Caenorhabditis elegans: one gene and its partner. The protein of the gene in region 2 purifies or fractionates together with the protein of the main gene of each other region. This does not show direct contact. Each region holds a gene or a part of one and is shown on either strand. Other genes may lie near its edges.

What was found. Proteins that work in one complex are often made in the same cells at the same time.
Region 1: the proteins of C49F5.6 (region 2) and fbxa-75 fractionate together in Caenorhabditis elegans (co-fractionation; one large-scale study listed by BioGRID). This does not show direct contact.

What each region holds. Positions count from the first base shown.
Region 1 is NC_003281.10:1,301,316-1,307,418, forward strand, and holds fbxa-75 (DUF38 domain-containing protein), read left to right. Parts: upstream 1-2,398; coding exon 2,399-2,487; intron 2,488-2,531; coding exon 2,532-3,159; intron 3,160-3,897; coding exon 3,898-4,146; downstream 4,147-6,103. Other genes in the region: fbxa-79 (F-box domain-containing protein), read right to left, coding at 4,489-4,683, 5,519-6,103.
Region 2 is NC_003284.9:11,985,734-11,993,115, reverse strand, and holds C49F5.6 (Dentin sialophosphoprotein-like), read right to left. Parts: upstream 4,803-7,382; 5' UTR 4,741-4,802; coding exon 4,477-4,740; intron 4,396-4,476; coding exon 4,174-4,395; intron 4,123-4,173; coding exon 4,027-4,122; intron 3,973-4,026; coding exon 2,596-3,972; intron 2,546-2,595; coding exon 2,195-2,545; intron 2,149-2,194; coding exon 2,104-2,148; 3' UTR 1,824-2,103; downstream 1-1,823. Other genes in the region: C49F5.5 (histone acetyltransferase), read right to left, coding at 5,887-5,999, 6,262-6,388, 6,821-6,928.

The DNA.
Region 1 (6,103 bases), on a different chromosome or scaffold from region 2:
AAATAATTGGTGAAGCCAGAGAGTAAAATAATTGGTGAAGCCAGAGAGTAAAATAATTGAGTAATTTATTTGGTGAAGCCAGAGAGTAAAATAATTGGTGAAGCCAGAGAGTAATTTATTTGGTGAAGCCAGAGAGTAAAATAATTGGTGAAGCCAGAGAGTAAAATAATTGGTGAAGCCAGAGAGTAAAATAATTGGTGAAGCCAGAGAGTAAAATAATTGGTGAAGTCAGAGAGTAATTTATTTGGTGAAGCCAGAGAGTAAAATAATTGGTGAAGCCAGAGAGTAATTTATTTGGTGAAGCCAGAGAGTAATTTATTTGGTGAAGCCAGAGAGTAAAATAATTGGTGAAGCCAGAGAGTAAAATAATTGGTGAAGCCAGAGAGTAATTTATTTGGTGAAGCAAGAGAGTAATTTATTTGGTGAAGCCAGAGAGTAAAATAATTGGTGAAGCCAGAGAGTAAAATAATTGGTGAAGCCAGAGAGTAAAATAATTGGTGAAGCCAGAGAGTAATTTATTTGGTGAAGCCAGAGAGTAAAATAATTGGTGAAGCCAGAGAGTAAAATAATTGGTGAAGCCAGAGAGTAAAATAATTGGTGAAGCCAGAGAGTAAAATAATTGGTGAAGCCAGAGAGTAAAATAATTGGTGAAGCCAGAGAGTAATTTATTTGGTGAAGCCAGAGAGTAAAATAATTGGTGAAGCCAGAGAGTAAAATAATTGGTGAAGCCAGAGAGTAAAATAGTTGGTGAAGCAGAGAGTAAAATAATTGGTGAAGCCAGAGAGTAATTTATTTGGTGAAGCCAGAGAGTAAAATAATTGGTGAAGCCAGAGAGTAAAATAATTGGTGAAGCCAGAGAGTAATTTATTTGGTGAAGCCAGAGAGTAATTTATTTGGTGAAGCCAGAGAGTAATTTATTTGGTGAAGCCAGAGAGTAATTTATTTGGTGAAGCCAGAGAGTAATTTATTTGGTGAAGCCAGAGAGTAAAATAATTGGTGAAGCCAGAGAGTAATTTATTTGGTGAAGCCAGAGAGTAAAATAATTGGTGAAGCCAGAGAGTAAAATAATTGGTGAAGCCAGAGAGTAATTTATTTGGTGAAGCCAGAGAGTAAAATATTTGGTGAAGCCAGAGAGTAAAATAATTGGTGAAGCCAGAGAGTAATTTATTTGGTGAAGCCAGAGAGTAAAATAATTGGTGAAGCCAGAGAGTAAAATAATTGGTGAAGCCAGAGAGTAAAATAATTGGTGAAGCCAGAGAGTAAAATAATTGGTGAAGCCAGAGAGTAAAATAATTGGTGAAGTCAGAGAGTAATTTATTTGGTGAAGCCAGAGAGTAAAATAATTGGTGAAGCCAGAGAGTAAAATAATTGGTGAAGCCAGAGAGTAAAATAATTGGTGAAGCCAGAGAGTAATTTATTTGGTGAAGCCAGAGAGTAAAATAATTGGTGAAGCCAGAGAGTAAAATAATTGGTGAAGCCAGAGAGTAAAATAATTGGTGAAGCCAGAGAGTAAAATAATTGGTGAAGCCAGAGAGTAAAATAATTAGTGAAGCCAGAGAGTAAAATAATTGGTGAAGCCAGAGAGTAAAATAATTGGTGAAGCCAGAGAGTAAAATAATTGGTGAAGCCAGAGAGTAAAATAATTGGTGAGGCCAGAGAGTAAAATAATTAGTGAAGCCAGAGAGTAAAATAATTAGTGAAGCCAGAGAGTAAAATAATTAGTGAAGCCAGAGAGTAAAATAATTGGTGAAGCCAGAGAGTAAAATAATTAGTGAAGCCAGAGAGTAAAATAATTAGTGAAGCCAGAGAGTAAAATAATTGGTGAAGCCAGAGAGTCTGTGAAGTTGTGTCCGCCCTTTGAATACCTCTTTCACTTCACTGAGTTTCATGTTAACGCATTTTATTTTGCAATACATAATGCTATTCAATTCAGAGATTTAAGTGATATTTGGGATGTTTCCGATGAATTGTTCATAAGGAGATGTTGAGATGAATATGTTTATTATTCTTCAATAAATACATTTCTGATCAACCTCTTCAAGTGGAGTACATTTGCTTTTTCAATAGCCCAAAACTGCCGAATTTTGTAATGAGACGCTGTTTACCCTTATGTATTTCTTCACAGCCCATACGATGAGACAAATCCAATTTTCCTCCATTTTTGCCAAATATTTTCCTATTAAAATACAACATATTTTGAGGAGCTTAAGAATGAGCAATTGTACCATAAACGTCATATAAAATTAATACTTGTTTACATCGTTCAATTTTACTGTTTCTTATCACTTGTACAATTCCTCAGCTCTAAATTCAACCTATAAAAACTCTGTTGGGGTTTCATTCATTATTTTTTAAATTTTATTTTCCTCTTGCTGGTTGAAATGTATTTTTGCTGATAATGGAGCAAGAGTCTAAGATTGCCACATTTTACGATTTGCCTAAAAGCTTCATTAGCGACGCTGTAAGCAGAATTGATATTGTTGATAGGTATTTAAACTAATTAACAACTAATTGTAATGAGAATATTTCAGATTGGTGGTTCAAAAGTTGTCCAAATATTTGAGAGCTATCGTTTTTGGCCTTCCACCGTTGAAGTTAAAACTTAATCTGGAAATAGATGCTCGTCTAATAAAGACAATGTTCAACAATTGTGAAGCGGAGTACGTCAACATCTACGATGAATACACAGGTGTTTGTAGAGTGCGGTCAACCAAAACATTCGAGGGAAACTACTTACAAACAGCTCTCAATGATATAAAAATGATAGCCAAAAATAATGCGACAGAATTGTATTTTTCCTCACTTGAAAAATCGAACAAATTGGGCGCAAGCCTGTACGAAGACTCGGAAAATGCCGGAGCAGAAGAGATGAATATTAGTTCGGGGACAATCGAGTTTAAGGACTTTTACCACAAGGAGATTGCCACAATTCTATCCTATTTCAAAAAAGGAGTGTTTGAACAAATCATCTTTCGCGGTTGCAAGTCCGATGGAGGCATGGAGCAAATTTACAAACTCGAGCCGTGGAGAATGGCAAAAAACTTTTTCTCAGAATGGGACGTCGAATTGAATGGTAGTCTTTTGCATTTTTTTCATTTTACCGGGTTTATAATTCACATTAACACCATCACAGACGAAATGGCAATGGAAATTAGAGATGTGAGCGTGTTTTTTTAAAGGTGGAGTAGCGCCAGTAGGGAAATTGCTTTAAAACACGCTTACCACAATGACCAAATATTATAGTTAAAAATTTTTTTAAAAATTTCTCAATTTTATATGATTTTTTGAAAATTGTAAAAATCTCGAATTGCATCAAATTCCTATTTTTTACCGCCACGCTTGCATTATTTTAACTTTTATTTATTAATTTTTCTTATTTTGATTGATTTTTCATGTTTTTTGAGTAATTTTACTGGAAATTTAATGAAAAATTCAAGATAAATGTAATTTTTTTATTAAAAAGCGGGCGCTAAAGCCTAAATCTTTGAAATAGATTATTTCAGGCTCAACGTCGTTGAGAAACGTACTATCTCTGTTTTCAATTATTTTTAGTAAAAAATGTACATTTATCTTGAATTTTTCATTAAATTTTCAGTAAAATTACTCAAAATAAACATGAAAAATCAATCAAAAATAAGAAAAATTGATAAATAAAAGTATATGCAAGCGCGCTCCATCGAACATCGAACTATTGGCGGTAATTCAAATAGGAATTTGATGCAATTCGATATTTTTTCAATTTTCAAAAATCATATAAAATTTAGAAAATTTTTTTAAATTTTTTTACTATGATATTTGGTCATTGTGGTATTATAGGCATGTTTTAAAGCAATTTCCCCACTGGCGCTACTCCACCTTTACTCTTTTGTTCTAGTTGAACAATTCAATTTTTCTCAGATTCTGTTCAAACGCGAGATTTTCGAATGGTGTGACATTCATTGCAATTCATCCGACTTTTCTCCACGTAAACTTGCTAAAGTGTTTCAAGCAGACTATATTGGTGGCGACAGTTTTCAAGTTAACTACTCCAACGACATCTCCAATTTTAGAATTATTTCGGAACTTTATGTCATTCGACCTACAAGCGACAAACCACAAACTAAAGACTGGTGGAGAGTTGTAATCAGAAAAGAAGGAATACCATGATCAATTTTTTTGCATTTTCACTTCGTAAAATGTTTTTAAATATCAATGTATACTGTTACATTATATATAAAAAAGGATTCTTCACATATTATGATTTATTGAAAACCGTTTTTTTTTAATTTCAAACTTCCATTTTTCGACCATATCCAAATAGTTTTTACAATGCATTCCAAATTTTGATTTCCCATTTGAATAATAAAGTTCAAAATCATCGCCACCAATCCGATTAAAATGCTCTTGCAACTTCAACAGGCTTGAAATTAGAGTTCATAATGAAAATAGAGCACAAATAAAGTTGGTTCAAACGGAGAAAATGTTTTTATTGAATTGAATTCAACTAGACTAAACTCTGGATATGTTTATATAACCATACTGTACTTCAAACGAGAATTTAGAATTTCCACTAGAATATTCGAATTTAGACTTGATGGTGTCATCGGATGGAAGTTCAGTTATAGTCTGAAATATTTCCGTCATCACAGGTAGTGTCCAACATTTTATATCGCAGCCGGTAAAATGTTCGTTTTTTAGAAGGATCTGCAAGAATTTTTTTTCAGTTGAACATTGTACAGTGCGCGTCAATGCTATAGGACCCCCCTCATTTTTCCGATATTGGGAAACTGAAAAATTTCCATGAAAAATTTTTGTGATATCCGGATTCAGCATGCCAAAAAACCTGTGTTCCTGTATTTTCACGAGTTTATCATTAAAACTGTAGACACACGGCAAATATTTCAAAAATTCAGTGCAAAAAATCTTGGAAATGCACTGTGAATTGAGAATATGAATTCCGTCAACTGTAGGTTTTTCCGCAAAGTTTTGGAGCAAGCAACGTTTATGGTACCTGTAGTGTAAAATGTGGGCTTCATTTTTTGAGTACTTTCTAAAAGATGTATCAAGCAGGAATATGCTTGAATATGTGCTTCATGAAATAATATAAGCTCAAGCTCATAAGTTACTTGTGAGCTTCTCGTTGAGCTTCAACGTCTAAAAATGTGAGAAAATAGTTAAAATGAAGATTCCGATCGTTACAAAAGTGGAAAACAGAACAAAATTGAGCTAATAACCAGATTTAAAACAGTTCTCAATCTTATTTTTTTGAAAATGGTCAAAAAGTCCGAGATTTTCAGTGAAAATTTTCGAAAATCTCAGGAGGTCCTATAGCAGTGACGCGGCCTAATTTTTGAAATATTACCCGTGTGTCTACAGTTTTAATGATAAACTCGTGAAAATACAGAAACACAGGTTTTTTGACATGCTGAATCCGGATATCACAAAAGTTTTTCATGAAAAATTGTCAGTTTCTCACTATTGAAGAAAATACGGGGGGTCCTATAGCCTTGACGCGCACTGTATAAAGCCTACTTCTCACCTCTTCAATCTTCCTAGCATCTTGAGCTGAAATCGTGAGCACTGTAATTGAAAACCACTTGCAATGAAAAAAAGATTCAATTGACACCGAGCTTGTGTCAAATCCCTTATATGGATTCAAGTGTAGACGTTTCGCCTTCTTCCACTGCTCCAATACAGTGATCTCCTCAAACTTGTTGAATTCCTCTTCATCATTATTTATTGCGATTCTTTCCAGCTTTCCTGCCTCGAAAAACGGTAAGAGATGAGCACATTGGGCAAGGCTCAGGTCTGTCAGGAGCAAACATTCTACATCTAGTGGCTTCACTGCTTGGAGTCTATCAGTTAAAGCATCAAAATTTTTAAATCTATCCTCAGAAAGTGAGTTTATAGACAGCAACAATGTCTTTAACGGCTTTTTCAAGCACATTTCCAGCACACTCAGCGCCATTTCAATACAGTCTGCTCCTACAATTGTTTTATCTCGGCGCTGGGTATCATCTTCAATATCCATCAGGCAATTCCCATGGATGTTATTTCTGCACTTGATGCAAATGTCATCTAATTCCATCTCAACACTTTTTTCGCTTGTAATTTTAAAGATAAC
Region 2 (7,382 bases):
TCAAACACCTTTCAAATAACTCGCTTGTGATATATTGTCACTAACTCCGTTTCCATTAATTTTCAATGTTCTCCTCCCATTTTTCTGTTTCATAAATACACTCGCCGCAGCAACGCTGTCCCACTTATCATCCAATGAAATGCAGGGGCAATGTTTCACCGCGCCACTAAGGAAACCACCTGACCCGTTTTATGTTATATACCCACTAAATATCTTGTGTATCTTGTGTAATATATATTTATTAAACGTAGTTGTTAGCAAAAAGTTGCTTGAGAGATTATTGCTTGTTTTAAAAATTAAATCACAAAATTTCTGAAGTTGGAAACGTCAATTTAAAAACTCGACTAAGAATTGCTTTTCATCACCAATTAGTCAAACGAAATGTTTCTAAAATAATCCATATATTTCTCTATCTAACTTGTTTGAAAACAAATACGAAGGAGCTACGCTTTGTCATAAAATTTGAAAAATGAAGTGATTTTGTACTTAGAATCACTCAACTTCTTTCGGTGCAAAAATAACAGAATAATATTTATATTTCTCTTTTTTTTTGCCTATTTTTCAATGTTCCTATCTTTGTTCCGTTTTGCTACAGTTTCTTGTTTGTTGTCTCACCCTCTTCTAAATATTATGCGTTTGTTGACAGCAGCTCAAAAAACTGAAATATAAATTTGCTTTTTTTCTCTATGTCTCTCGTTGCCCTTCGATGGGGGTTTATATGTCTTCAAAATAGCTTCATCGTTTTCTCGTTTTCTGCGCCAACAATATACTTTCTGACCTTTCCTGTTTTCTCGAGAATATTCTTTTTGGCATCCACGTTTTGCATCTACTAGAGAACAGTCTTCCGTTGTTTTTTATTTTATTTTTTTCCAATACTCTTTTACAATTAAATTTATTTTACAGAAAACTTGGGTTCCGCTCGGCAGGACTCTATGGCTAGGGTCGCCGAGTTCAATTAAACTTGATTTTTTTCAAAATGTCAAGCTTGATTTGATTTGCACAATGGATTTTCCAATCGAAAAATAAATTCATTTGGCACTTCGTATTCCAATAATCTTTCAAGTGAGCAACTGGCTAAGTTCAGATCAAATTAAATTGCATTTTCAGAAGAATTGCAAAAAATAAATCACGGAGAAGCCTCTTTTTGAAACTTTTCGGCAAATGCAGTCAACGAATCATAACAGGAACCGCGCTTTCAAATAATATGTCAAATACCAAAGTCGATTCTGTACAGGATCACACTGTTTGTAACAACAACTGCTTTGAACAGCATATTTGTGAAGAGTAAAGAGTTTTATTTGCAAGTAAGTTTTCTGTAGACGAAATCAAACTTGATAGATTAACAAACTTTATTATGTCTGATAATTGAATTAACAACATGCCAATATGTCAATATACCAATATATACATTTTCAGGATCTAAACCGTTTATAATATGGAATGACGGAATTTGTAAAGAAATACGAACACTCACAAGTAAGATTGAAAGATTGACAATCGGAAACTGCGTACATTACTTCATGTCATAGTAATGTCGGACTAAATTTTTTTTATTAATAAAATTGTTTTTAAATAGGTTTTAACTTGTTGACGGAACTATTGTATTGACTAAATCAGTAAATAATTATTTGGATGGTTGAATTTGTTTTTAAAATATGTATTAAATTTCCTCGATTATGCGTTTCGACTATGGCATCAAAATTGGGTTCCTTTCGGCAAGATCATGCCTGTTACTTGCCGATGGTATTGAACGGCCTGTTACAAGGATTTCGGCAGCTCCATATAGATCACCAACCATGGGATACGTCTAGAGAACTTTTAATCGAAACCTGCACTCAATTTATTCTTCGCATAGAATTCAAATTATACAAAACGGATATGATAAAACAATCTTATAACCAATTAGAATTAAAAGTAATTACGATAATACTTATTGGGAATATTAGGAGACAATAAACAAAAACTTTGACTAATGCCAAAGCAAATGTATTTGATTACAACTATGGAAAAAAACTTTAATAGAAAGGGAATATGGGTCAAAAAGCGAAATAAATAGTCAGATTCAAAACATTTTCAAACTGTATCGATTCTTGTTTGTTTGTTCTAGATGTTTTGGGCAGTGGTAGATGTAGATGGTTGAGCAGAAATCTGAAATGATTTGTTGTAAATTGAAATGTGTTCAGTGTACATTAACCTCCATCAAATTGGCTCCGTGCTTGTCGTTTGCAGACTGAGCAATCATGGAATGATGACCCGAGAACTGAACAATATTCTGTCCCAACCATTTCCCGCGAATTTGCTGCGAATTTTTAGAGCGGCTTGATGGATAGAAGTTGGACAGTTTGGTGCGTACACGCATTTTTGCAATCTTCCATGAACCACGTGGAGCACCAGCACAATGTTCTTCTTTTCGTGGCGAGAATAATGCAGTCTTTGAAGACGATCCAAACTCTGGCAACACCTTCTTTGGAGTTCCAGTACCCATCATTTGAATCAGTTTGCCCATTGATGGTCCGTATTGATACTCGCTCTTCCCAAACACCTTCTGAAAAAATCACAATTGTCAATTAAACAACATATCAAAATACTACTCACCTTTGGAGTGAAAAAGCTGATGTCCGAGTTGATCTTTCCAATTGGAGCATTGAAATTTGCTTTGAGAACGGTTTTTGTCGGCTTGTTAGTGACAGCTGTCTTTGATGGAGACTTTGAATACTGCAACACATTCTCAACTGGCAACAGTGGCTTGCCCAGTTTTGGTTCAGCAAGTGCAGCTTCTGGCCCAACTTCTGTCAACAAAGCACGATTGTCATTCATTGGAGTAGTTGCAGCTTCCTTATTCAAACATTCCATTGTGGCAGGAAGGTTTTCCGGAGCTTGCTCATTTGATTGGAAACCACTAGTAACAGCAGTAGTTTGAACATTTTTGTTCGAAGTTGGAGATTTATTCTCCATCCACGATTCACGAAGTCTTTGTCGCTTAGCTCTGAACTCATCGAACTTCCGTCCAGTTTCGGCAGTTACAAGAAACTTGTATCCACCTCCATCCGAGACCGGGTCATTTCCAGTAGCTTTCAACTCCATTGGTGCAGTGTTCTCACTGCTGATTCCCATCGCAGAACTGTTATTGAGCTGGTCAATTGGTAAGATGTGTTCTTTGTTGGGAGAAGAGGCTTTGTTATCCACCATGTTTTTACCGAGAACGCGCTTCTTTTTGTTGGTCGCATCTTCATCAGTGATGAGTTTTGCAGGAGTAGACGGTCCTCGAGATGAAGGAGTAGAACTATCTTCCAAATGACGCTTTCGCAAACCACGAGATACTTCTGCTTTTTCTCCAATATCAGAAATATTCAATTCCTTTGGCATAATGATATTTTCAGTCGATGTTGGAATAATGGCTTTAGCCGGGCCAGAATCAATTCTCCCATCGTCAGTAATCTCACCATCCAACACACCAACTTGTTTGCTTGGCGAACCATCATAACTGATCTTACTTATTGGGGAACTCTTCAAATGTGCGACAAGTCCTCGTTTCTTTGATCTGAACGAAGGGACAATCAGATCAATTTTCTTCAGAGTACTCCACTTCAGATCCTCTTTGGCTGGGCTGGCAGAAACATCATATTGGTACACCTCTTGGCTCTTGGCTGGCAGTTCCACTGGCTCAGTCAACTTCTTCTGGAGTCCATCTGCATCCTCAAATTGTGAAAGAGATGGCACATCGCCCATCTTATTGACAGCCAAGTTTGTAGAGCAGTTGATACTGTTTTCAGAGATTTCTGAATCCTTTCCTTCTTTATCCATCAACATGTCTGACATGACCTTTGTAGTAGAAGAAATTATTTTCGATCTTTGAATAGTTGACGTAGTTTCACGAGATCTCATTATTGGTGAACTAGAAGTGACAGTTGACTGAAACTCGATTGTAGATGTAGATGTGAGCTTGAGTGGGCTAGAGGGAAGAGGAGCAATCTGAAAATATGTATTTTATATACCAAAGTAAAACGTTATAGCTGTGGAACCAACCTCCTTCTTCAACCTTTCAACACCATCAATCGATGTGACACCAGAGTTCGGATTCTTGAATTTCTTCAATTCAGAAACGCAGATGTTGACAAATTTCTGCAAAAAGTACAGTATAAATGCTATAAATAGTTAAAGTTAAATGCGAACCGAAATTTTTCCAACTTTTTTCTTTGGAGTCTTCATATCGGCATTACGATGATTCGTCTCTTGAGAATCCCAGTAGTTGTCTTGATAATTGTCTTTTCCAAGAACCAGTGGCTTTGTAGAAGCACAATCCGTAACGTCTACACCTGCATCTCCGTTTTCATCGATTGAATTGGCAACGACACAAACGGAATTCGGATATTCACCAGAAAGAATATTCGGTACCTGAAAAACGAATTAAAAATAACACTAGACTAAAAACAGACTGCAAGAGTCGTGCACTACAAATATTGTGCTTGAACTTACCGATTTTGAACGCTTCATTGGCGATGTGGGAGCCAAAGCCATTCTTGAAGAAAAGTTCATGTTTGGGGACATTGACAAAGTTAAAGATGGACAAGCTCCAAGACTTGGGAAAGGAATGTCCACAGTTCCCACCGACTCTGACTTGCGGAACTTCACCACTCCCGAGCAATAGCAAAATCCCACACAAAGACGGGAGCCGCAGGTTTTCATCGACAAGGTTCGAACATCAAAAGACGACTCATCAGGCTTAGAAACAGTAGTCATCACAGCATAGATATTGATACAAATCTTGTGATCCGATAAAGACGTGGTTGCAATAATTTACCCTTCAAAAATAGTTAATTTTGAAACGTTTCATATACATAAAATTCACAAGAAATCGTAGGGTTAATCAAGGTTAAATAAATCAAAGTATTGAAATTGAATTGGAAAGCGAAACTAAAATGCCAACTCAAACACAAGAAAACAAAATGTCTATGCTAATGTAGTGTTTAGCAAAAAGACCGCGCCTTTTTCTTCCCGCCATGCAATACAGTGCAACACAATTGACGTAAACATGCGGACCTTGTTATTCCTCCCCGCTTTCTTTTCCGCCCTCCCAAATTCACATGCTCTCTCGGCGGATGGTGTAAAGATGGAGGGAGAAAAGGAGGGAGGTCCCGTTGGTGAGTTTGTTTGTTTGTTTGCCATCAGGGATGTACGGCTGTCGGCTGGCGCAGCCAGCCGACAGCCGAAAAATTGGATTTTTCGGCTGGTAGCGCCAGCCGACAGCCGACTGATAATCTAATGTTGGCTGGCGCAGCCAGCCGACCTTTGAGTTAGAGTTTTCGGCTGGCGGTTTAAAAAAAAATTAACTGATTTTTGATATATTTGAACACTAGTTGCAAGTTTTATATATGAAAAAAGTAAGCCGATGTGGTTATTTTTGTTGGATAAAGTGATTAAAAAGTTTGCTATACCTTGTTTTTGTACTAAAAGTATGCTTAATTGCTCCGAAACACTTCAAGAAAGCAACGTGCAAAAATACAGTTTAGCGACAAAACTTAACCATAAAGCTCAGTCGGCTGGCAGCGCCAGTCGACAGCCGAAACATTGCTAGGTGTCGGCTGTTGGCGACAGCCGACAGCCGACAAAATCAGCCAGTCGCACATCTCTGTTTGCCATGTTGTTTACAAACTCCTGTACGCTTGAAAAGGAAACTATTAGAGTTGACCGTCTGGTTTTCTGAATCTGAAAATAATAAACAAGAAATCCATCAAAATCGACCGGTAAACGAAACAGCAGTATCTGTGAACATTTTATCAATCGCTAAATGCATAAAAAACAAAACAGAACAATAAGTAACAATTAGAAGATCATGGTGGGAGACAAATCAAAATTGAAGTTTGGCATATGTCATTACTTTTACCTTTAGCTACCACCAAATGTTTGAAGTCTTCTTAGTGGAGCACAAATTGCACAAGCACGATTTTGGCACTCACGCCAGTGTTTGATGAGTTGCTTCGAGGTGTTACAGTAATCAACTGAAATTTAAGTAAGGTTAAAAGGGTAGGGTATATTATTGAAATCTTATAAAAATAGGTAATAGAATCTTAATAGCTTTTGTGGTTTTTTTGTCATTCACGACGTGTCGTATGTGGGAAACAATGTATGTTTTTACATTTTGTTGGAGTTTTTTAATCGAACTGGAAACTGAACCTCCTCTGTTTTGGGGTCGCTTTAGTGTCTAATGATGCTTCATTGAAAAAAAGTTGTCCCTTTTGAAAATTAAATAAATGAACATACTGAGACAATGCGATCCGTTCGTGCACATGTTCAAATGAGAAAGCGTGTATTTGAAGAGTCCGCAACTGGGAAGATCGCAGCGTGGATGACGAGCAGGTTGACCATTGATCGCGGCTTGGTAATTCTCCTGAAAATCTTATTAGTCAGTCGACGCAAAATATTAACCATTGTTGATGAAAATTCACCACAAAAATTGACTACTCTTAAAACATAACCTTACAGTTTTTATATTTTTTTCACTTCACGTGTGAGCCAAGATTAATTTCCAGACCTTCCGTTGCTACGGTCACTCAATGAAATATCTGACTGGGTATGAACATTGCTTTCCGAAGTTATGAAATGTTATTAGAAAACGAAAAACGTTCAGATGGAGATGGAGCCTATACTTGATTTTTTTGTGAACCGTCACTAATAGTATGCATAGAAAATTCATAATAGGGTCCGCCACTGTTGCAATTTTTTGTTTCGCGTTTCAATCTAGCTATCTTCTAACTTTGGCATATTTCCAGAAATGATAGACAACCATTTAATTATGATATAAACAGATTCAAAACATTACCCTGTCTCTTTTGGTGCACACATTTGCATGAAGCAACAAAATCAGCTGTTCTTTGATAACCTTCAAGATGTGTGGATCAATTCTTGAAGGATCGGAAAGCGAAATCATTCTGAAAACTGACTAGTTAAAGGATAGAAAAAATGTATGTTTAAAAGTAGTTTCGAAAAAAAAACACATCATGTTTATTGAAAATTGTTTTGAAAACTCGGGGAAAAAATCGAAGCCACGATTCTCTACTTTACCGTTATTAACATCAATAGTTTCATGAAAGCATTGAGTTCATGAAATAGAAAAAAAATAAGAACCTACTGGATTGCGCCCAAAAGTGCGAAGAAAATTTGAAAAGTGATGACGACGACCACCTCTCTTTTCTTTGTCGCGCCATCAAATATCGGCGGCCCTTTATCTGCTCCCATCATTCCCCAATGATATCATTTTATCTTTGGTAGTGACATCGTCAACGGTGAGCAAACACTATCGCCGTTGCCGACAAAAGAAATAGGGATGTGTTAAAATACGTGTCGAATTCCTATTTTCGGATACTTGAATATATAAATTAATT